Linked DNA regions of Arabidopsis thaliana. The protein of the gene in region 3 interacts with the protein of the main gene of each other region in a pairwise test. Each region holds a gene or a part of one and is shown on either strand. Other genes may lie near its edges. The genes, in order: CLC2, AT1G05020 and AT3G11130.

The links.
Region 1: the proteins of AT3G11130 (region 3) and CLC2 come close enough for resonance energy transfer, tested with the Arabidopsis thaliana proteins (one study listed by BioGRID).
Region 2: the proteins of AT3G11130 (region 3) and AT1G05020 interact in a two-hybrid assay, tested with the Arabidopsis thaliana proteins (one study listed by BioGRID).

The regions. Positions count from the first base shown.
Region 1 is NC_003071.7:16,723,546-16,730,964, forward strand, and holds CLC2 (Clathrin light chain protein), read left to right. Parts: upstream 1-2,878; 5' UTR 2,879-3,018; coding exon 3,019-3,305; intron 3,306-3,653; coding exon 3,654-3,807; intron 3,808-4,120; coding exon 4,121-4,456; 3' UTR 4,457-4,662; downstream 4,663-7,419. Other genes in the region: AT2G40050 (Cysteine/Histidine-rich C1 domain family protein), read right to left, coding at 374-2,203; AT2G40070 (flocculation FLO11-like protein), read right to left, coding at 4,833-5,096, 5,176-6,312, 6,620-6,734, 7,210-7,324.
Region 2 is NC_003070.9:1,433,610-1,441,888, forward strand, and holds AT1G05020 (ENTH/ANTH/VHS superfamily protein), read right to left. Parts: upstream 4,155-8,279; 5' UTR 3,737-4,154; coding exon 1,775-3,736; 3' UTR 1,546-1,774; downstream 1-1,545. Other genes in the region: AT1G05030 (Major facilitator superfamily protein), read right to left, coding at 4,715-4,906, 4,987-5,101, 5,202-5,290, 5,376-5,449, 5,549-5,695, 5,893-6,049, 6,126-6,219, 6,289-6,401 and 4 more. UniProt on the Arabidopsis thaliana protein: Adaptins are components of the adapter complexes which link clathrin to receptors in coated vesicles. Clathrin-associated protein complexes are believed to interact with the cytoplasmic tails of membrane proteins, leading to their selection and concentration.
Region 3 is NC_003074.8:3,487,734-3,496,157, reverse strand, and holds the start of AT3G11130 (Clathrin, heavy chain), read left to right. Parts: upstream 1-4,092; 5' UTR 4,093-4,490; coding exon 4,491-4,535; intron 4,536-4,870; coding exon 4,871-5,075; intron 5,076-5,614; coding exon 5,615-5,703; intron 5,704-5,803; coding exon 5,804-5,882; intron 5,883-5,960; coding exon 5,961-6,088; intron 6,089-6,187; coding exon 6,188-6,286; intron 6,287-6,368; coding exon 6,369-6,477; intron 6,478-6,563; coding exon 6,564-6,643; intron 6,644-6,728; coding exon 6,729-6,956; intron 6,957-7,042; coding exon 7,043-7,108; intron 7,109-7,708; coding exon 7,709-7,825; intron 7,826-7,932; coding exon 7,933-8,130; intron 8,131-8,214; coding exon 8,215-8,331; intron 8,332-8,424. Other genes in the region: AT3G11150 (2-oxoglutarate (2OG) and Fe(II)-dependent oxygenase superfamily protein), read left to right, coding at 1,559-2,344, 2,843-3,172. UniProt on the Arabidopsis thaliana protein: Clathrin is the major protein of the polyhedral coat of coated pits and vesicles. Mediates endocytosis and is required for a correct polar distribution of PIN auxin transporters.

The DNA.
Region 1 (7,419 bases), on a different chromosome or scaffold from region 3:
GTAAATGCAGTTCTCTAGTTTCAGATCGTTTGTCCTAAAATCAGGTTTAGGGTTTCAGTGACCGGTTTAGTTATAAAGTCTAGCGGCATTGTAGTGATGTTTTGACATTGACTATTTATCGAGCAATGCATTTGCCATCTCATTTGCTTCTTGTTTGAAACCTTCGAGAGACGAAAATGATTGCCTTTCTAATCGCATAAGCACATGGTTAGAAATTATATCTTGTGTTGACCGATGCAGCTCCTCCGGCAGAAAATCATCTAATTCAAAGAGCTCTTGTGTAATTGCACGAATTGAGAAATCAGTTTAGTTTTATGAAATTGAAATCAATAATAGAGAAATTACATTTTATTCAGATGCATGGATACATTGTTTAAATACATTCATATGAACATTCAACACGGTAGCCTACATCATATATTTTCCCTATACAACGGTTCTTGCAAGAACCACATAATGGTCGAGAAATATTACATTTGGGAAGAACTTGAACCCTGCATACCCATTTATTGAAATATTGACCGGGCTTGATATATGGGTCTCCACCAATTAAGCATTCAATATGAAAAGTGGTGCAACACTCGTTGCACCAGTAGAATACTTTTGTGCATGTATCCTTTAAACTACGTTCACATATTTCACACCATTCTTGCTCACGTACTTCTTCACCAAATGAAATTGTGAGGAAGTGTGTGTCATGCTTATATTTTATTTTGTATGGTAAGGTAACACACTTAAAACATACAATGAAATTGCATTTGATGCAATTTAATTGTTTTAAACATTCTGTTTTGCATATATGACATATGGGTTTTATTTCTGGGTTTAAAGCTAGGAACAAGGGATCTTCATGACCTTTGTAATCAAACGGCTCAGAAATTAAAGCGCACCTTACATCAAGCTTGAAAAAGTTGCATACCTCCATCCTACAGTGATAGGCAAAGCCAATAGAACCACGATCACAAGCGTTGCAACGGAAGGTATTGTAAGTAAAGCTATTGATAACCTCCAATACAAGTGGGTGAGGATGTAAGGCATGTTGGATTCTACGGGGAGCCTTAGCACATGTTTCATGGAGGATGAAATCACACTCCATACAAACATATAAGTTACCTTCATAGATAGGAATGGCACACGCTTGACAAAGCATGTTTTCATCATAAACGTTGCTGACCTCGAGTCGGAGATGATGATTATGATGAAAATAAAGTATCACTCCTTCAGATATCACCTCGAACGGTCCATCATTTTCTGTTATATCGATTATCTCTGGTATACCTTCGAGTTCTTTTCCATCCCACACATCTTTCCCAAGAGCGCATATTGAATGAACAACATAATCGCTACACGTGTCACAAGTATATGCACCATAATCAACGTTAATACTTAAACGGCAAACTCCACAAAACCATTCTCTAGATGTAAGAGAAAAAGTGAACGAGATACGATGACGGTGACGTGATATCTTGATGATGTGTGGGGAATTCATACAGTCATTATGAGTTACAAAGTTACATCTGAAACAAACGTAGGTGGGATAAATTTTTCTCAACAAACCACAAACATTACAAGTCAAGGAAGTTTGTCTGGGGAAAAAAGTGAGAGGATGGATATGCTTTTTTGGTGGGTCTATAAGAAAAGGTATTGGCTTCATCGCACATATGGGATGCATAAAAGCCTGGCATGTGGTGCAATGATAAATCAACCAATGTGCTTTTCTTCCACAACATAAACACTCAATCTTACGAAAGTTATCATCATGAAAGAAAAGTTGGAGATAGTGCTCAGGGTGGTAAGGATGTTTGATTATAAGTGGAGATTGAATGCATTCTTTGTGTAATTTTATGCTACAATAGTTGCAGAAATAATAGTCGGTGCCGGAATTTGAGCCTTCGCATATGTAGCATCCACCATCAGCATCAAATTCTTTATTGTTGCACCAAAACAAAGGGAGTACATGATGATCATGAGAGGTCGTCGTTGTAGAAAGGACGTACTCGGGGGAAGAATTAAGCGGATAAGTGTCTGAATACGACTTGATTTTTCGACGTCGTGATCGAGGGCATAAGAAAAGAGGTTGAAGGTCACTGGAGGAGGTTACGGTCTGTGTTTGGGGTATGGGGCAATATTTCGGATGATGGTATACCAAAACAAGGTTACCATCCTTTTCCACCTCATAAAATCCTCCGACGCTAGAATCCATGAATGTGTTAAGTCTTTGTTTATTTTTGTTTTAGGCTTTTATAAAAAAATATTTGTCATACAAGATATCAAGTTGTTAACATTTTTCCTCTATAAATACGAAAATTTGATTCCAAAAGTTTTCTTCTACTCTTGATTATTAATATACTTAAACGTGAAAACATATGGTTGATTTTGTTCCTTTTCTCAGTAGTTGTGATGATAATGTTCTTCTTTACATGCAAATAAAGAATCAACTTTTCTTTGCACATAGTTTTGTTCATTTCTGATGTTCCATGACTTCAAGACTCTATATTAATCGTGCTCAATGATTGTGCCAATTCATTAGTAGTGTATAATTTGAGACTTTGTGAACTCAATCACGAAACACACAAAAAGAAAATGAAGGTTTATTCAAAAAAAAAAAAAAAATGAAGGTTTGAAATGGAAAATGAAACAATCGTACCAAAACCAAATTGCAAAACGTTTTAAACAAGAAAAGAAGAACACGTAGTTTCAATGATCCGGTTGAATTAGAAAGTAGAACAACCGAACCCACACTAAATTGCAAAACGTTTTGATTAAGATAAGAAGAACACGTATGGAACATTAATTGTAATCTAATGGATCGGTTGGAACCTAAACCATAACTAAACCGGAATACTCATGATGAATTGGAAGTATTTGGGCTCGAAAAAAGCCCATTAAGAAAAATGGAAATAAAAATAGTCACAAATCTCCGTTATTAATTTTTGCCATAAGCTTGAGAACACTTGAAAAGACAAGATTCGCGAGTTCTTCGTTCTGCCTTTTTTTTTTTTTTTGTGTGTTCGAGAGATGTCTGCCTTTGAAGACGATTCCTTCGTCATACTCAACGATGATGCGTCTGAGTCTGTTCCAGTCTCAGGCTCTTTTGACGCCACTGATTCTTTCTCAGCTTTCGACGGCTCACTCCAAGTCGAGGACTCCGTCGACGATGTTTTTGCAGCGCCGTCTTCTGACTACGGTGCTTACTCCAACGGTGACGGCATCTTCGGATCCAACGGGGATCACGACGGTCCTATCTTGCCACCACCGTCGGAGATGGAATCAGATGAGGGATTTGCTCTTAGAGAATGGAGAAGGTTAGATCTACTCAAAGTTTTGATCTTTGTTGCTTTTTGTTTACTTCTTCCTGAAGAAAATCGATAAAGTGGATAAATTTAGTTGAGAATCTCTTTGATAATCTGAGAATTTCAATTTTGAATTTTGATTCACAATTTTTGTGAATTGAAGTTATCTGCTAGTTAGTGTCCATTGTTCTCAGAAGTAATCAGTTTATTAGATTGGATCTGTTACTTTTGCTTAGAGTTTATTGCTCAAATCGTGTGTTCTAGAATAACATCTTGATCCGTAAGCTTGTAATGCTTGTTGAGTTGATTAAGATGTATAGATCTGATTTCGTGCTATGGCTTTATTATGTTTATGTGTAGACAAAATGCAATTCAACTTGAGGAGAAGGAGAAGAGAGAAAAGGAATTGTTGAAGCAAATTATTGAGGAAGCTGATCAATACAAAGAAGAGTTTCATAAGAAGATTGAAGTAACTTGTGAAAACAACAAAGCAGCTAACAGAGAGAAGGAAAAGGTTTGTTCTTTTGCTAAAAGATTTGAATTTTTTATCATCTTTTCTCAATCTGTGTTGTTGTCATGTGGTTTGTGGAGAATTGTCAATGCAAGTCAATGGCTTGTTGATATTAAAATTTTCAAACTTTGACCATCTTAGTCTTAAGTCAACTGTGATTGATTATCTTAATGCATTGTCAGTTTTGAGATTATCTTAATACATTGATTATCTTCATTACGTGTGTGATCTTTGATACCTTTTTATCTGCATATTGCATTGTTACAGTGTTGATTAAACTTTCACTTATGTGTTTATTTGTCTTTGAACACTTAAGCTGTATCTGGAGAACCAAGAGAAGTTCTACGCGGAATCCAGCAAGAATTACTGGAAGGCAATAGCAGAGCTAGTTCCTAAAGAAGTTCCAACAATAGAGAAAAGGAGAGGAAAAAAAGAGCAACAAGATCCTAAGAAGCCAACAGTCTCTGTGATTCAAGGTCCAAAGCCCGGTAAGCCAACCGATCTAACAAGAATGAGACAAATATTGGTGAAGCTCAAACACAACCCACCTTCTCACCTGAAACTCACTTCTCAACCTCCATCGGAGGAGGCGGCTGCTCCTCCAAAGAATGTTCCCGAAACCAAGCCCACTGAGGCAGTTACTGCTGCTTAAAAACCTCCTTTGTTTTCTTATTCGTTGCTTACATCTGTGTGAATTCAGTCTTTGCATTTCATTATGTGTTATAAACAGCTGAGAGATTTTATGGTTCATGTGTGTTATTAACATAATTATGTCATATTGGAATGATAACTTTTTATGTTTTAGTCAGTTACCATTGAATAGTGGTTAATATCTCAAATCAATCGGTTAAAGGATCCATCCATTTTAGGGTTAAAGTAGAGACGAGAGTGGAGAGGTTTACATAAAACATCAAAACGCTACTTCACATATCATCATTATCAAACTCGTGTGATAATTAAAACTCACAAACAATAAAAGAGAATCTCAAATGTGAACGTTTTACAAAAGGCTTTTCTTCTTTCTTCCTTCATCTCCCTTGTAAGCTTGCAGGGGACCTGCAACCTCTCTCGCTGCCTGCGTCGTCTTCCTTTTCACTTGCCTCTAAGCAAATGCCATTGTTGTTGCAGACACTGATCTCTGAGCTTGCGTTGCTGCTTGTTGCTAGTGGAGAAGAGTCTGAAACATTCATCGGTCTACCACGTGTATGTCCAGACCTCACACTGTACATTGATGATGCTGGAATATTCGTCATTAGTGGTCTCAGGTTCCCTGGAATAGTTCTACGTATATCCTGTTTTCATCAAAACGTTTGATCATCAGTTAAACGCAATTGCCACCACTTGAGGAAGAGAGAAGAGAGAGATACATACCATATGCCTTATTGCCATATCAAGGGACTTCTTGGAGAGCGTTCTTCCAAATCCTGCACTGTCGGGTGATGAAGACTTTGCAGACAAGTTACCATGAGGAGAACCCTTGTCATCTGATCTGGGTGGAGCAAGTTTCCGCATGTTTATTACTCTCTCCACCATTTTTGTTCCCATCATCACCGGACTAACATTGTCACTGGCTTTGGAATATCCACGATTAACCGCAGGAACAGAGCTACCACTAGAGTACATTGGTGCTCTTCCTCTTGATGGTGAACATGATTGCCTTCTTGGTCTTCCTCCTGGAGGGCCCCCTGGCTCAACTGAACCAGAACGAGAGCTTGGAGCTCCAGGTCTGCCTCTTGTCGCTGAAAGTGGCCTTTCGGGTAATGTTGTCCTTAGATTTGGAGGAGTTTCTAATGAGAAACCAGGCATGTCTGACGGCTTCCATGGTCTTGACCTCACTGTAGGAGATGCTGCACGAGATAAAGCAGGGTTCTTAGATGGTGTTGGCATAGGCTTTGCTGGCGCTGGAGAAGAAGGCTTGATTTGGGATATTGTGGGATTTGCTGTAGTAGTTGCAGCACTTGCAGAAGCAATTGGACGGCGAGTTGGTGTAGATGACCTTGATATGGTTTTAGATGGAGGAAGTGTGGGTCTTGAAGTTGGTGTTGAAGATCTGGCAGTAGATCTTGACAGAGGTGTGGTGGACCTTGAAGGACCTGCAGATTTTGTGGTGGTGCTAGGGGTAGATCTAGTTACTGAACCAGCAGATCTAGCAGTTGAGGTAGTCGGCTTAGATGCAGTAGGTGTGAGCCTAGATGATGATAAACTTGTTGACCTACTCATAGGCGTGGGCTTAGTCGTTGCAGATACTGTGGACCTCGAGTTAGTCAAAGAAGGTCGAGTAGCTGAGGAGACAGTGGCTCGCGAAGTGGGTGTTGAAGGCCTTGAGGATTTTGAATTTGCCGTCAGTGTTGATGATCTTCCAGTGGGTGTGGCAGGTCTTGATCCAGGTCCTCCAGATGATGAAGGTCTTCGACTTGCTCCACTGGAAGAGCTCAATCCAGGAGAAGAAGTTTGTTGTCTAGATGTTAGATGGTTCCTTGCAGCAGACTCTGTTGAGGAATTTGCCAGCTACGACAGATAATTCATAGGTTACCATAACGAAGTAGTGAAAATGTGCTACTCTAAAAAAAATCCAGAGCAACATCCCACATAGCAATAACGATAAATGCGATTTACTAGTGTAAATCATGAAACTTGAAATGTAAACGTCACAGACTGATGCGGCAGGTTAAACTAGTAGTGGCGATTCAAAACATATAAACAATAACAGCAGAGCTTTATTTTAATACTGGTTGCACTACATTAGGTTGTTTATCTAGTATCCATTCCAGGAGTTGATAAAAGAGGTCAGAACACTAAGCAATAACATTCTTACTCTGGAAGTCAATGTAGCCGGGCGACTCTTTGAATCACCAGTCTGACTCATCATAGTCCTATGTGATTCCATCTCCAGCGATGGAAATAGAGGCGTACCTGGAGGGGTCAGAAGCCTTCGAAAGACAAGAAGAAGTTAGGGTGGAAATGATAAACAGATAAATGATATATTGTTCAAGAAAGTATATGAATGTCTAAGAAGAGGTAAACAGAGATGCTGGAATGATGAACACCTTATGCAGCAAAATTCTAAACTTGATAAGAATTCAGTGCAAGACTCGCACACCTCACAAACAAAGGGTTCCAAATTGTGACACCAAATTCGAGTCTATTAGATTAAACACATGCCTTATACAGAATGATGTAATGTGAAGAAACAACACAATTTCAAGGAAACAAAACTACCACACATATATTACTTCAGAACCTCATGGTTAAGATACAGCAAATCAGTAACTATACTATCACAAAGAATACTTAAACCGCCTGCACTTAAGGTGGCTAAGAAAATTCAAACCATCACCGGTGAATATGTTACTGAAGTAATGAACCATAGCGTCGCAACATGAAAGTTTGTGATCAAAAAGTTACCATTCATAGTCATTTTTATCGCCTTCAGAATTGAGAAAATCATCAGGAGCAGCCTTCCGAGATGGTGGAGCACCACTTGAGATGTTAAACACCGGCGAAGTTCCATGCTTTGAACCTAAATAGACCAAACCCCATCAATAACTAATCAACCTCCAAGCTCAAATCAGAAACCTGATTCCACAAAATTAGAAAGAAAGAAAACATATTACA
Region 2 (8,279 bases), on a different chromosome or scaffold from region 3:
TATTTAGTCTTATGACACAGCAGTTTTCATTCGTTTTGTATTAATTTTGATGGACCAATAGTGGTTTATTTGTGTCCGTTGATTACGAAGCTGCTCTTCGGCCGGTAACAACATCTCTGTATGCACGTCTATATTAAGAATCATGAGCTATCACTTTTGGCCGTTTATCAGATCTAATAAAATTTCCCATTTAAGCGGAGAAGTTCAGATTCGATTACGTGGTTCCCTCTTTGGCCCAAAGATCACCTCTAAGAGTTGATAAGATATTTTTCTTTCAAATTCTTATAAGGATTTAAAAGCAAATGCAATGGAAAAAAAAAAAAAAAACATTCATTGCCTTACTTCCTTTCTATTTGGAGAAAGGTGGATCACCTTTTTTTTGTTTTTGTCTTTGATCAACATTCATACTTTGTTATAGAAAAACTGATATTTGATAATAGTAAGACATGCTTAACTTTATTTTCCACTTCCTCAGTCACAAACAAATCTCACGTCATTATTATGGAGCCTCAAAAAGTATAATATCACAGACGGGTTTTGGCAACTAATGTATTGATTTGAAATTTCTTAATATTTGCTATTTTATGGGACTATTTTAAAGTTGATCAATAAGCAAAACAAATAAAGAAACGTGTTTTATTTCATGTTGACTAACATTTTGACTCGAAAGCGAAACTTATGATAGAAAAATAGGCTTAGCAGCCGGTGTTATATTCAATCATGTATGACTTGTAAGCAAATTTTTACTAAATTACAAAACAACAACTTGAGAAGTCAAGAAGTTAAATCAACTTGTAATGAGAAACCTAAGAAAGGTGGAATCCTAAATTCACATATACAGAAGCTTTTACCACTGTCAAAGACGAAAACGACTCTAGTCAATGGCCAATGGGGGATAAAATTTGTGGTGTATAACTATTAAAAGAATTAATATTTGTGGTGGGCTATATACTAGAAAGAGATGTGTTATGATGATTTTGGTTTGGTAGATCTTTCTCCCTCGTGGCCTTGGGGTCAAGCTACAGCTTTGGTCAATCTCATGTTATCGACACCACAAAGCCAACTTGACCTACTAGTGGACCTCCTTAATTTATTCCATTTGGCTTCCCTCTTCGTTATCTTCCACCGATATACATTCATTTTATCATTCGCATTATCACGGATGCATATCATAACACATAAATACATGCATATCGGAAAATAAAATGCAAAAAATTGTTTGCCAGATATACGCATCTAATACGCATATCGGATACATTCATCTAATACACACACATTAGATGCATGCATCTGTTGTGTGATTATGTGAAAACTTGTTATATTAATATAGACTAAAAATGAATACATAAATATTTTCAAAAATACATAAACTAAATGCTACATAACATCATCACGATGATCAAAATGCTAGCTAAATTTCAATTCCCAAAAACTTCAAAGAAAATAACATATTCAAAAGTAAATCCCAAAGTGTACCGTGTACGTAAATGTATTCAGAAGGTGAACTTAGATATTTGAGTGTTATTCGTTGAGATATACTTGAAAATCAAATTCTCAATGTGATTATGATACAAGACACACAAAATACATCGTGTATACACAGGAATGCAAGTACGAAGATAGAATCCGCGGAAATATCTTTTTAATCAAAGAATTTCTGAATTTCACATTTCTCTAAGTTATGGAAAAATGAGTTAAGAGTTAAGTTGACAATGTAACAAAAGAAAAACTCAAAGAAACATCTCAACCTCTGTCTAGCCAAATAAATTTTGTATCAACTCAAGTGCTTGGCTATGATCTTTTTCTGGTTCTGCAACCATATCTGCTGTTCTTGCAATACAGATTGCTGATTTACCCCTCCATTTTCTGAAAATGTCTCTCCGAACCCAAAACTCTCAAATGTTGTAAACGGGTCACATTTCATAGGCAAAGTCTCCGTGGCCTTAAATGTTGGTGTAGAAGACGGCTCAAAATCATCAGGAACGTTCACCTGAAATGTCGGTTCTGGCTGAAACCCTGTCAAAGCCAAGCCACCGAACGTGATCATTGGTTCTCCGGCTGTAGCTAACTGCGCAACTGGTTCTTCCAAGAATGGGTTGTATTGGTCCGTGGCGGCTTGAAACGCAGGCATCGGATCATCTAACCCGAACGGTACTATCGCCATCGAGTTATTACCCTGCACCTGCGTAGCAGTTTCTTCTAACGCAAGCAACCAATTCCCTGAATCTCTCTGATGGTCCTCAGCGGTTGAAGGTTCCTCCTCAATCGTTTCTATCTTCTTCTTCGGATCATCTCTCAACATCAACGCCTCCCAAGGATCGAAAGTCTCTGCCTTTGAATCGTCTTGCTTCTTCTTGTCTTCAACATCTTCTGCTTCTGCCGTGTTACTTACGTCATCCAATGACAATAGGTCTAATATGAGATTGGAAGCAGAAACAGAGGGATTATTGGGAAGCGATTTAGTCGAAACCGTATCAAAATTATTCCCATTAGGATCATCTCGTCCTCCTCCGTATGGCTCAGAATGACAAGACATTGGAGGACTACTAGTCCCTGCTTCAGTCCTGCTCATCAAATCCTCCAACGAAGTACTACGAAACGACCCGTAATCTGAATACCTCTCCGACGTATCAATCGTGGAATCCCCAAAATCAAGCGAGCTTGAAACCGCTGAATCTTTGGACGATGGAGGCGGAGGAAGAAAACTATTCGGTGACGGATACAACCCTGAGCTCGCTGGAAACGACGATTGATCTTTTAAAAACTCTTGCAATGTCTCAAGAAGCTCTAAAGAGATCTTTTGAATGCTAGGATACTCCGATGTTCTTCCTATACCGATCGATTTGGAAAGATCGTAGAATGCGTTAAGCTCTTCGAACTGTTTCGAAGCTCGAACACAAGCTTGAAACGCATTGATGCAAGATTGGTATTGCAGATGGAAGAAACTGTCTAACAAAAGCGCTAATCCATCGGAAATGTCTCTGTAAAGATCAAAACTCTCTTGCATGACGGCGTAAAGCGACATTTTCACGAGCCTGTTGGCTTTCGCGTCTCCCGTCGGCCGCGTCGCGATTGCTCTGTCTAGTAATTTTTGCCAATACGTGATTTTGTCAAGAAGCATTACCGGTTTCATATCTCGAACCGCCGGTTCGTGGGATTTAATTCCGGCTTTGGGATTAAACCGGGATCTTGTTGTTGAGTTGGTGCTGATTCTTCCGGTTTGTTCTCGGTTTGTGTACCGTCTCTGTAATTTTCCGGTGAGGAAGCAATCGAGACGTTCGTCGAGGTAAAGCGCGAATGTACGGACGAAAGCAGTGAAATCCCAAGGGCACGAGTTCGAATCGTCGCGGAAGCTGGAGAGATTGAGGATTTTGGCGCCACGTTTCATGGCGTGGAGGACTTCGCGAGGGAAATAAGGATCACCGTCTTGGAAAATCCTGAGGACGAGGACTAGGGATTTGAGCGCGACGATCCAATTCCGTGTACGCCCGATACGGCGACCGATCGCGGCGGCGCAAGAGGCGGCGTGAGATTTCTTGGAGGATATGATTCCGAGGATTTCTGTTACGAGTCGATCGTCGATTGGGACTTCCTCGTCGTGGCTCGTAGCTTTCAAGATCGCAACTTCGAGAGTCGTGAGATCGCCGCCTCCGGTGGCTCCGTTAGCAACTTTGGCGAGGCTAATGCTTGTCTGATCTTTAACCGCACCAATCGCTTTTTTAAGCTTGCTCGGCATTGTCCTCGTCGTCGCGCTTTTAATTTCACCCAAACGTCTTCTTTGTTCCTCAAGGGGTTTTAATTTCTTAATCACTCTGGATTAGCGATTAATCACGAAGAATTAAAACCAAATTAGAAGATTTTCCTCTAAATTTTTTTCCTCTCTCTAAGGATTTTTTTTTCAATTTTTGTTCTTCTAAATATAGAGAGGAAGGCAGAATAAAATGGCTGGAGAGTCTCGAGACCCTTTCAAGATATAGCGTTGACTAATAGAGAGACTTCACACGCGATTTTGGCGCGTTAAATATATAATTGTGTTTAAATTCTTCTTCTTGTTAGAAGAAAAAGCATGATGCATAGAATTGTGTTCAAATTTCGAAAACTTATTATAATACAAATATCTTGTCAGTGTATTTATGTTACAAATTTTTTGATCGGCTAAAAGTAACATTCTCTCACAATTCCTTAAGAGTTGTTTCTACGAGCCTCATATTCGTATAGGTTATAAATTCAATGACAAGCTGTGTACGCTTTTTTTTTTCAGAGAACCAGCTAGCATCTTTATATTCAATATTCTTGGGATAAATTTAATATTATCAGAAATCTTTATCTTTGTTTGCAGACGTGCAAACCAGTATTATATATGAATATGAATATATAGAGATCATGAGTTATGGACTCACGATTTTCACCATGACATGGTAAGCATGTATAGTCTAGATCGAGACAATGTTACTACATTAAGCTATAAATCAAGAACGTCTTACCACTTGTAAATAGGCACAAACCTTTCATAAGTATGTATTTTGTGTAATCCTTGTCAACTTTCTTTCGCATTTTTTATAAATCTTTTCTTACATACCTAAGTATATCTATATACTCACAAGATTTCTCACAAGCTAATTTCCAGGCTATTTACATTTTACAACAACTGATGAAAAACTGATAAAAATTTTGAGGTCTTTCTCTCTTTCTTTCACTTATACCGTTTTTTTTTTTAACTCAGGTCGTCTCTGGAGTTCAAAGACAGTTCGATCTCTTCTAGTGATCGACCCTTTGTTTCCACCGTGAAGAGGTGTGAGAATGCCGCTGCCAACAATGATACTGAGCCAAAGCTGGCATAGACCGTTCCAACCCCGTATTTCTCCACCAGATCCAGGAAGAACAAACCAACCAAGAAGTTGGAGACCTGAAGAACATTTGCTTCGTCATTCTTCAAACTTCAAAAGGTTATAAAATGATTTATGGGAAAACTAAAAAAACACATACCCAATGTACAGAGAAGCTGAAACCCATGATTTTTCCACGCGTTCTGTTGCTGCTTAGCTCAGGGATGATGAGACCTGTTACAGGACCAGCTCCAATTGCAAAACTGAATATATACCTGTAACAGGACCAAACATATGATACGTTTCTGTCTTTTTTTGGGTACTATATGAGCTGAGAAAAGGAGACTAGTAATTGCTGGACTTCAAGCTACTTACATGAGTGTTCCAAGTATTGACAAACTCTGGCTCAGATCTTCATCCAAGGGGAAACCAACAGCATAAACAATAAGAAACATAGAGACTGCCTGTGACACCAAATCAATTCAATCAAAATAAGCTAAAGCAGTGAAAAGCAAAAGAGTTTATGTGATAAAAGAAAAAGATATTTACCATTCCCAAGTAGCTACCGATAAGAAGCTTCTTTCTTCCTTGCTTATCAATCAAATAAGACGCACACAGAGCACCTATTAGACCCAACAGTTCAGAAAAGGGACATTGTGATGGAAACAGTAGAAAAAAACAATCATCTAAATTTAAAGTTGATATAGGTGAGACTTGAGAACCTGCAAAATTTGTGACTCCAACATATAGACTTGCTTGAGCACCACTCGTGATTCCAACATTTTGGAATGTTAAAGATGAGAAATAAAGAACGCCATTTATGCCCGCGAATTGCTGTAGGACAAAAAGGGAGCCCCCAATGAATGCAACTGCAACCATTATATCAACAAGACATACAATTTAGCTACATAGATTTTTCATGTATGAAGTTATATATTCTCAGTTTCTTAGATCAAAGTCCTGGAAAAGGTTATTCTTAAACTTGAATGTTTTCAGTTTCTGATTTATGGTATAATATAACACCCTTAGAAGTTAGAACTAACATTAAAAGCAACCTTAACATGACCTCGTGAATGTGGTTTATCAAGGAGTTCCAGCCATCTGCTATTTAAGTTGGAGCCACTATTCTTCATAACCGACTGAAAATCTTCTACAGCTTTCTCGACTTCAGATCCTCCCCAGATGTTTCTTATCACTACTTTGGCATCATCAAGTCGTCCAACCTAAACAAGTATCATGAGACACGATTTCAACATGGAAAATCAATGCTTCCTCATGATTAAAAGAGGCGACTTATACCTTACAGAGCCAACGGGGACTTTCTACTGCAAATTGCATACCAAGTGCAAGAAGAAAACCAGGCATACTCGCTACATAGAGCATTGTCCTCCACCTGAACAGTAGTATACATGAGGAGAATGAAGTGAAGAGTGAAATGTATAGATAGCTAAATGAAGCTCACCAATGAGGGTCATCTTCTGCAGGAATCCCTAAGAGAAGAGAAAAGATTATCCCGAGACAAGTGCCAATTTGACATAAAGTTCCAAGGGAACCTCTGTATTTCGTCGGAGCAACCTATAGAATAAAAATGGTTGGCTTAATATCAGAAGTAACAAGACTCTTCAGCCGAACATATGAAATGCAAAATATGCTAAGCAAAAGAATGCTAAACCACAACTTATTGTACTGAGAGTCTGAGAGTACATAGGATCAATTTTAAGAAATGTCCTAGATCTTACAGCAGAAGAAGCCAAATAGTTAAAACATGAAGTTGAAAAGGAATCACATATTAGATTACCTCGGATATATATATTGGAACAAGAACTGTGTTGACGCCAATACCAAGACCAACAAGAAATCTTCCACATAAGATCTCATCCAAGGAGTGAGCTTGTGCACTGAGAGAAAAAGTAAAATTTAGTTATGCTGCTACCTCACAACTTAAAACATCATCATGGAATTGTTACTAACATAACGAAATCAAGATTCACCTTAGTAACAAGATATTACCTCACAAGGGCACCAAGAATGAGGGGTATCGTGAAAATCTGAAAGGTGCGTCGGTAGCCAAACTTGTCAACTAGTGGACCGGCGACTATGCTACCAATAAATGCACCGGCAATAAATATGCTCACAACAAGACCCTCAAGAATAGAATTGCCTTCAAACCCAAGTTCACGCGCAATAGACACGATGGGGCCATTCATCACTCTGCAAGAACAAACTGATAGTATTATAAGTACTAAGCTTTCGAAAAACTAATCCAGATCAACCTGACTAACTCATATTCTTCTCACTGGAAGCTAACAAATTGTCAAGACGGGGACAAATCAACACTCTGTAAAAACAATCTAATCAACATCTTTGTAAGCTCAAATTGAAGCTGTTTCTCACCAGCAATGTCAAAATGAAACTTTTTTTCGAATTCTGTAACACAACCAAGCATTAACACTACTACACGAACAGAGATTAATCTTCTGGTATAGAAATCAAACTAGGCCAGTGAAACAAACAACAACGACTGTTACTTCACAAATTTGGCAACAGTGAATTGGCTATATTATTACCCAATGTGATAACCAAAGAGAAAATTGGCCATAGAAGCAACTGATACATGAGGAAAAGCCGATAACCATCCCAAATCAGCGGAGAATTTCTCCGGCGGAACTGGCGATATCTCGTGATCGTCATCTGTTAAAATTTTGAATAAAGTTAGAATATTTCAAACAGATAAACATTGGCAAAGAGATTGGTAAGTCAATGGAGGTGAGAAAGCTGAACCTGGTTTCTTCGTCGACAATGTCGTAACCCGCTTCTTCCTCTTTGAAGACCGAAAGAAACGGGAAAAGGAAGAGGCTTTACGAGAGTGGGCGAGTCGGGTCGGGTAAGAAAAGGTTAATCGGTTCATAGAATTGGGTCGATATAGAAGTACGGTATTCGTCACCCACATGATCGGAGAGCTAGACTAGACGGAAGAGAGAGAAATACGTCGGCGAAGCGAAAATAATAAAATTTGAGGCGACGGAAAATAATAAACTTGTAAGCACGTGACACTCACGTGCTCAAATACTGAGTGATTTCCTTTTTAGGAATGTGACAAGTTTAGGCACTTTTAGAAAATTTTATTCCATTTGAGGCACTTTGCAGAGATGAGGCATTTTTTCAACTTTTTCATCGAATTTATGACAAATTTGCCCCTAAAAGTGAAAACGAAAATACTTTAGCGTTTGGAAGTTGGTATATGATGAGTGGGTCGTTGGATGGAAGTTGTAACTATTATCAGATTATATATATAATTTAATTACTCAAAAAAGTATAATGAATATTCTTTCTCTATTTGTACTTTTTTTCTTCGTCTTCTTCATCGTCTACTTCTTTTTTCTTCATCGACTCTTCTTTTCTTTCTTTATCTATCTCTTTCTTCATCTTTCAGTCTTTCCTTGCAAAATCAAA
Region 3 (8,424 bases):
CATCTGGTCTGATTCCTAACTATCTTCAAGCTTTGTAAATGTTCAACGTGGAGACCAGAATAATCATCAATTAAGAGAATCTGTTTCTGTCGATGATTCTGATGCCTGGTTTATGGATTGTTAATAATAACCACCTAATCATTTAAATGTCGCGCAACGAGTAAATCACACACACAGTTTACTTCGACACCGGACAAGTACTGTTTCAATTCATAACTCCACCAACGGATTTCCATTACTGGATCCGAGTATTTTTCTCGACATCGAGAGCTTAATTTGGTGCTTTTTACTTGAAAGTCTTGTTGAGTTAAGCAAAGGCTTTCCATTGACACTGCTAGATACAGCACCGAGTTTGTGTGATCAGAAGTTTGAAGAAATCGTTTAAGAAGGAAAGGAGAGAAACGATTGATAATTATGCAACTAGTCTGGATTGATACCATGGTCCATAGACAACCATATCCAAAGTAAGGGACATTTAGGAATAATATACGCGAAAAAGTTGAGAATATTTTCGACAACTAACCAAAACTTTACAAGGGAACAGTGCAGGAACTTTATATAGTTATATATATGCGCATGCAAATAACAACTATATTACAAACTCTTTGATCATGACAGCATTCCATACACTAGCTTGATTGGTTATTTAATAGGTATTTTTTCTTATTAACGAAATAAATCCCTTAAGTTATTATTTTTATTTACATCCAAATAAATGTAATATTATTTCTATTAATTTTCCACTACCAAAATAGGAATTTCGAACTATATATTTGTCTTGTTTTAGTATTTCTCTGTACACCTAGCTAGCAGCATCTATTTATGCAGATACATTCTCATGATAAGTATTTTATGATTCTAATAGATACACGTACAGATGAGGTTACTCATACATGGAAATACATGTTTAGTAAAATATAATATTTGTGGTAATTTCAAAAAAGAGAATCGTTTTCCCAAATTTTTACTATACAAAAGATCTTTTACTTAGTTTGTATCATATTTTCCTCATTATACACATCAACAATTCAACAAATATCAATTTTGTATAAAGATGATTTTATCATGTTTTTCTTGTCTGTTGGTTATATTTGTGTATTCCTTCATTTTGCGATTCTAAAATACTAATAAACACATATAAGAATATTTATCGGTTCAACCAAAAAACAAATTTCCGTAATTAATCATTCCTCTATGTTGTTAGATAACAATTTTCTTAACAAAATTGCTAAAATCTGTAATGGCAAACCCACATATAAATAATATTTGCCGCCTCTAGTTTAAACAAGCATGTAAAAACGTGTTATCGGAAAAAATAACATAATAATTGTAAAATAAATATGCAAAACTTATGTCATTGAAAGAAAAAAAACATGATAAATGTACTTGGTGAATGGTGATATTGTTTTTAATTTTTACAAATAAGATGGTAGAAAATTAGGTTATACATAATCCCGCACGTGTGAGTAAAGCCTTATATATTCCATGCGTACACGCAAGTTATACATATGTTTTCACATATACGCTCTGCCTCTTCCAAAGTCACATCCATCTTTCAATGGCTTTCTCTTCAGCTCACCTCAACCACCACCAACCTTTGATCAAGCACGGTGGAGCCACGGCGGCGCCTCCTCCGACCCCGTCATGCTCACATCTCAACACCACCAGCAAATCGGAGACAGCAGTTGACGCTCTCTCCAGTCTTTTCCACCGTCTCCCTCCTTTGCTTTCACTCCCCAACCGTCGCTCCATCCCTTCTCTTCCGATGGTATCTCTCTCCGCCGGAGATAGACTTGAATGGGACGATCTTATCTCCGCCGTGACTGATTTCGGCTATTTCCAACTCATTAACGATGACTCCGATATTCTTTTCCCTCCTGGGATCGCTGAAGCAGCCGAGTCTGACTCACTCTCGCTCTTAGAGCTCAGTGAAGAGAAGAAGGAATCATCGTTTCCGAAGAAATGGCCGCTAGGCTACGAAGCCGATGCTGAAACGCCATCGTTTTGCCTTGACGCCGACTGTTCAACCGACTCGAGCGAGTTAAATCTGAGTTCGCTCCGTGAGTTCACTCGGACTCTAGAGAAAGTTGGACTGAAGACGGTAGAGATGCTGGCGAATGCACTTGGGTTTGGATATGATTCAACCCGGTTTAATACTCTGATGTGGGTTAACCAAGGTGTTCCTGATGATGAACCGGAGGTAACCAACGGATTTTATCCTTTTGTTGTTTGTTTACAGTATCAGATAAGGGAACAGAAGTATTGTTTGCTAACCGAGTCTGGTTGGGTGTCCGTTTTACCCCGAGTTGACTCGGTTCTTGTGACGTTGGGTGACATTGCTCAGGTTAGTTCTCTTTTGCTTTTGACAATTGACAGAACACATATATCTCTTTTATTTATCTATAATTAATTGGTTAGTTGTCTTCCTTAAATAATTATCAAATTATCATCCTTTGTAATGGAACTTTATTCCACTATACCGTTAACTGGCTGTTTTAATGTATTTTAAACATTATCCAAAATAAATGTTTTCCAACGCATCGTTCAAAAAGAGAACAAGAATTTGGATATTTCCGATATTTATTGTTGACAACAACAACAATTGTGGAGCATAACCGGGGAATGTGTTTTCACTTTTCGTTTGAAACAGATTTATGGCATTGGGAAAGAAATAAGAATTTGGAAATTTCCGATATTTAAATACTTATACACATCACATCGCAATTGTACTTAGTGTCCTATAGAATTCAACAATTCTTTTTTTTTTAGGTCAAAACCTAACAGCTTTCTACAATATAGTTTTCAACTTTTGAACAGCTAACAAACAACTTAAAATTGGCAGGTTTGGAGAAATGGAGAGGTCAAAAGAGTGAAATATCGACCAGTGTTGTGTTCAGGACAAAAAGATGGTCCAGTAAAGTGTGTAACAATGACATTGATGCTTACACTTCCCATGGACAGTATGGTTTCATCATTGAAGGATATGATCAGTGACGGCGACAAAGAAGAAGAGTATGCAGAGGAGGAGGAAGAAGATGGAGGAGCAAGAAGTGATGAGAGAAGGGCATTTAGGCCTTTTAGTTTCAAGGAGTACGCATGGAGAGTGTACCAAGAACGTCTCTTCTTCAGGGATCCACTTGACAGATACAGAATCAAATCTTTAAAAGATTGACGAACCGATGTTTGATTTGTTTGTTTCTTTCTTGGGTTGAATTGGTACTATAGTTCTTGTTGTTACTTTTTTTCCCCCATAAAATCTTTTGATTTTCAGCGGATTGTTAGCATTTTAGCATTGAGATATTTTTGTTTTTGTTCGATTCAGTTCAGAGAATGTTCTATTTTGATAGTCACTCCATCATTCAACTAATTTTTTCATATATACTCATATCAAAACTGTCACTATTTCAAAATCAAACTTTTAGGTTACACCAATGACTCTATCACACTAAACTCAACTCCTAGATTTTATATAGAAGAATCTATGACTTTGATGATGTACTTTAAAACTGAGTCTTTTGAGATCATAACCAAATTCTACTTCATAACTTTTGTTTTCCAATGTTGATTATTTGTTATAATTAGAAGGTGACACAAACGCTTATAGCATCCTGTTTTTGAAAATGAGGAAATACAGTGTTGGCTTTTAATCTCTCATTGAGGCAGAATATCAATGAATGACTTCAAATCTACGTATACATGTTTACTTATTTAGTGATCCATATTGGTGTTGCTCTTTAATTTTCTTGTGAGAATGAATTATATACATCAAAATTGATTATATCATTTAATTCGAGTTAAAATTATAAGTAATACAATCTTCACTAAACACTAATTAAATCGACGTAAATTTCTTATACGATTTTTTCATGCAACACTTAAATCGACATAAATTTAAATATTTTGGTCTTCATACCCTAATTTTGATAAGATATAATAGAAAATTTCGTATATCTTTTTTTTTTTTTGGTAAAAAGTTTTTTTTTTTTTGTTTCATCTCCATATTTAGAAAATTTATTTCAAACTTCGTTCTCGTTTGTGTTCATCTTAATTTTTAACCATGATTGAGTCATTGACCATTGCTCAAAACATACGCATAAAATTCCCAAAAAGTAGTGTGTGTCGTGACAAAACCCGACCCGTCGATTTACGCGGTTTGAAACTCGACCCGAATACTATCCGAACCCGTAACTTTGGCAAAAGCACATCGTACAGCTCAGGCACTTGTAGCACGTCGTCTCTCCTTTGGTTTCTCTCCTTATATTCGACGAGTGACTCCGATTGGATCGCTATTTCGTCATTTCTCACTTTCCAAAAAGAAAAAAACGAATCTCTCTCCACCATCATCACCTTTCTCCTTCACTTGCCTCAGATCTGGCTGCGATTTCAAATCTTCCTTAGTTTCTCTCGCATCGCTCGGCCGTTGACGGTCCCGTCCTTTCCGTGGATCTGATTCTGGCCCCGGATTCTCTCGCCGCGATCTGAGGTCAAACATGGCGGCTGCTAACGCGCCCATCATTATGAAGGAGGTCCTAACGGTGAGTTCTCTGTTTTTAAATCTCCGGGAATCGAGCTAAAATTTTGGACGATTAACATGTTTCTATAGTTGTAGTCTCTGATTTCTATCGATTTGGTTCTGCTCACACTGTTATATGATTGATTCAAGTTTCATTCTGTTCTCAATTCTACCCGATCGTTGAGATCAAGTTCTCTGATCAGATTTTCTCTGCGGACGCTCAGATCTGTGTTATCTGAATGTATATAGTCCTTAGTTTTAAGTTATTGTGTTGCGCAATGTGCTTATCTACTCGGATCTTGTAACTAAGTTAATGAACTATGCCAATTGATTACTTTTGTTTTGGAAATTTTCCAGCTTCCGAGCGTTGGGATCGGTCAACAGTTCATCACCTTTACAAATGTTACTATGGAGTCTGATAAGTACATATGTGTACGAGAGACGGCACCGCAGAACAGTGTTGTAATTATCGATATGAATATGCCGATGCAGCCTTTAAGGAGGCCTATAACTGCTGATTCTGCTCTTATGAACCCAAACTCGAGGATCCTTGCCTTAAAAGGTATTACACTGTTTCCTTCGATCGCATTATCACTTATAACACCCATAAGATTCTCCTTTTGAAGTGTATGATCAGTTATAAGACCCATAAGTGGTTCCTATTAAAGTTTTCTCCAGAACTACCATTGATAGCTTCTCCTTCATTTTGTTAACTGTACATATGCTATTTATTACGGATAGGATGTTTTGATTTATTTGAAGTTTAAATGACTCTGTCCATGTTGTGATGCGTCACTTGATAGAAAACCTATTTTTATTAAAGTAGTATGGAAGTGTAACTACACTCTTCGAGTTTATGTTGTAGTCCTATACTCTTTTTCTGGATTTGGGGTGATAGCATGTTTAATGCTGTAGAAAACATCAGTATAGCGCTCTCTGTTTTCCAACACGTGTTATATTTCTCGTGGCAGTGTTGTGTCTCAAGCTTAGTGTAGTTAAACTAGAAATTTTGGTTTGTACTGGATGTTTCCTTGTATAAGCTATTACTTATTTCTTCCTTAATTTGTTGTTAACTTTTTCTTAAATTCGTATCGTATATAGCTCAAGTTCCAGGAACTACTCAGGATCATCTACAGATATTTAACATTGAAGCAAAGGCAAAGTTGAAGTCACATCAGATGCCTGAGCAGGTGAATTTTGAAGCAAACAAATTGTAACCCGATTATCTTTCATGTTGTACTCTTCAGACAGACTCTGATTTTACTGGTCTGAATTTTTTGGATATTATAGGTTGCTTTTTGGAAGTGGATCACACCTAAGATGCTGGGACTGGTCACACAAACTTCTGTGTATCATTGGTCAATTGAAGGTTTTATATCTTTAACTTACTGTCAGCTTCTTCATATCATGTATATGTTGTTTCTCATTTTTGCTTCGATATTTCCAGGTGATTCTGAGCCAGTTAAGATGTTTGATAGAACGGCTAATTTGGCAAACAATCAAATTATAAACTATAAGTGCTCTCCTAATGAGAAGTGGTTGGTCTTGATTGGAATTGCCCCTGGCTCTCCTGAGGTAGGGTTCCTGCACCACGTATTAGGTTGAATTAAGACATCATAACGGCAGTCATGTTGTATATTTTTGACGGAATCTTGTCATTATTATCCTCTGTAGAGACCACAATTGGTGAAAGGAAATATGCAGCTTTTCTCTGTGGATCAACAGCGGAGCCAGGCCCTTGAAGCACATGCTGCATCTTTTGCTCAGTTTAAGGTAAACTATGTGATACCTTTGCTACTTCATTCCATGGTCGGATCTTGAACTGTAGTATGACAAGCGACATTATTATTGATAGGTCCCTGGGAATGAGAATCCTTCGATTCTTATATCATTTGCAAGCAAGAGCTTTAATGCTGGGCAGATAACATCAAAGCTGCATGTTATTGAACTTGGTGCCCAACCAGGTTAGCTTAAACTACTGCTCTATATTTTCATGGTTATTGTTAGTTGGTATTAGTCTGATGTTTAAAGGTGGGCGGCTTTTTTTCAGGGAAACCATCATTTACAAAAAAGCAGGCAGATCTCTTTTTCCCCCCAGATTTTGCTGATGATTTTCCTGTGGCCATGCAGGTTTGTAGTTGCATTAGCTGTTCAATTAACTTCAGTAAGTTTCTTGTGAAAAATTCATGACACCGACTTCTCTTTCTCCCAACAGGTCTCTCACAAGTTTAACTTGATTTATGTCATCACCAAGCTTGGCCTGCTGTTTGTATATGATCTAGAGACAGCTTCTGCTATCTACAGAAATCGGATAAGTCCGGACCCAATTTTCTTAACGTCTGAAGCTTCCTCAGTTGGGGGTTTCTATGCCATTAATAGGCGAGGACAAGTTCTTTTGGCAACAGTAAATGAGGCCACCATAATACCTTTTATTAGTGGTCAAGTATGTTCAACTTTTACTTTGTTCTTCTCTATATAATCTATCTATTCATCATGACATGCTAAGAAATCTATGCCTTTATATTACAGTTGAACAATTTGGAACTTGCTGTCAATCTTGCTAAAAGAGGAAACCTCCCTGGTGCAGAAAATCTGGTATGTGATAATTATCTTGGATCAGATGTGTGGATCTATTTTCTTGGTGAAGTCATTATTGTGCCAATTTGACGAAAAAGGTCATTCTGATAGAAACAATAATGTAGAAAATTAGAAATCGAGATTTGACGCTTCCTCCGTTTCAATATACAAGTGCATTTTTGACATTTTCAAGCAAATGAAAGAATAATTAAATGTTACATGATATCCTAGAAGACAATTGTCTCTTGGATTTAAATTCTATTTCACATTGTTAATTAATATTTAAATAGGGGTAAATAGATAAATGTATTACAAAATTTACATTGAATCGTAAGATGACACTTTGAAACGGAGGGTGTACATGTTAATGTTAAAATTCTACAAAAAACTAAGTGAATTTGATGATAAACCTCTTCCAAACTCCCAAGACATCTTATACCGATAGAGACTAAAGATCCATAACCTATTTAAACCATGGTTACTTGAAAGTAAACACAGTTAAACCCTACTAACCTAAAAACACTTAGTAAATATCATAAACTCCTTAGACCTCTAAACCCATTGCTCGAATTACATTTCTTAATGCAAAGTTCCTCATATTCAATTTTGATGTTACAGGTTGTCCAGCGGTTCCAAGAGTTATTTGCTCAAACAAAGTACAAGGAGGCTGCTGAGCTTGCTGCTGAATCTCCTCAGGGCATTCTACGGACACCTGATACGGTGGCCAAATTCCAGGTATATGTTCCATATTCAAGCAAAGAATCCTCTGTGAACATGTTGTCTATAATGTATGTTTGTAACACCAGTCTGAAACTACAACATCACACTTTACAATTTTGCAGAGTGTTCCTGTACAAGCAGGGCAAACTCCTCCATTGTTACAGTATTTTGGGACCCTTTTGACTAGAGGGAAGCTCAATTCATATGAGTCTTTGGAACTATCTCGGCTTGTTGTGAATCAAAACAAAAAGAACCTCTTGGAAAACTGGTTGGCAGAGGATAAGTTAGAATGCAGTGAAGAACTCGGAGACCTTGTCAAAGTAATCTTAAAATGACCATTTTCATTTAAAGTGTCTCCTATGGGCTTCTTTAGTATGCTGTAACGGTAATATTTTCTGATTCAGACTGTGGATAATGACCTTGCTCTAAAAATATACATCAAAGCTAGAGCTACTCCAAAAGTCGTTGCAGCTTTTGCAGAGCGAAGGGAGTTTGACAAAATATTGATTTATTCAAAGCAGGTAAACAATTAAGTTTTAAAGTTTGCCCCCTCCGTTGTTATGTTTACCCTAAAGGTCATTGTGCTCAAGAGGTACCATTGTTTTATGTTGTGA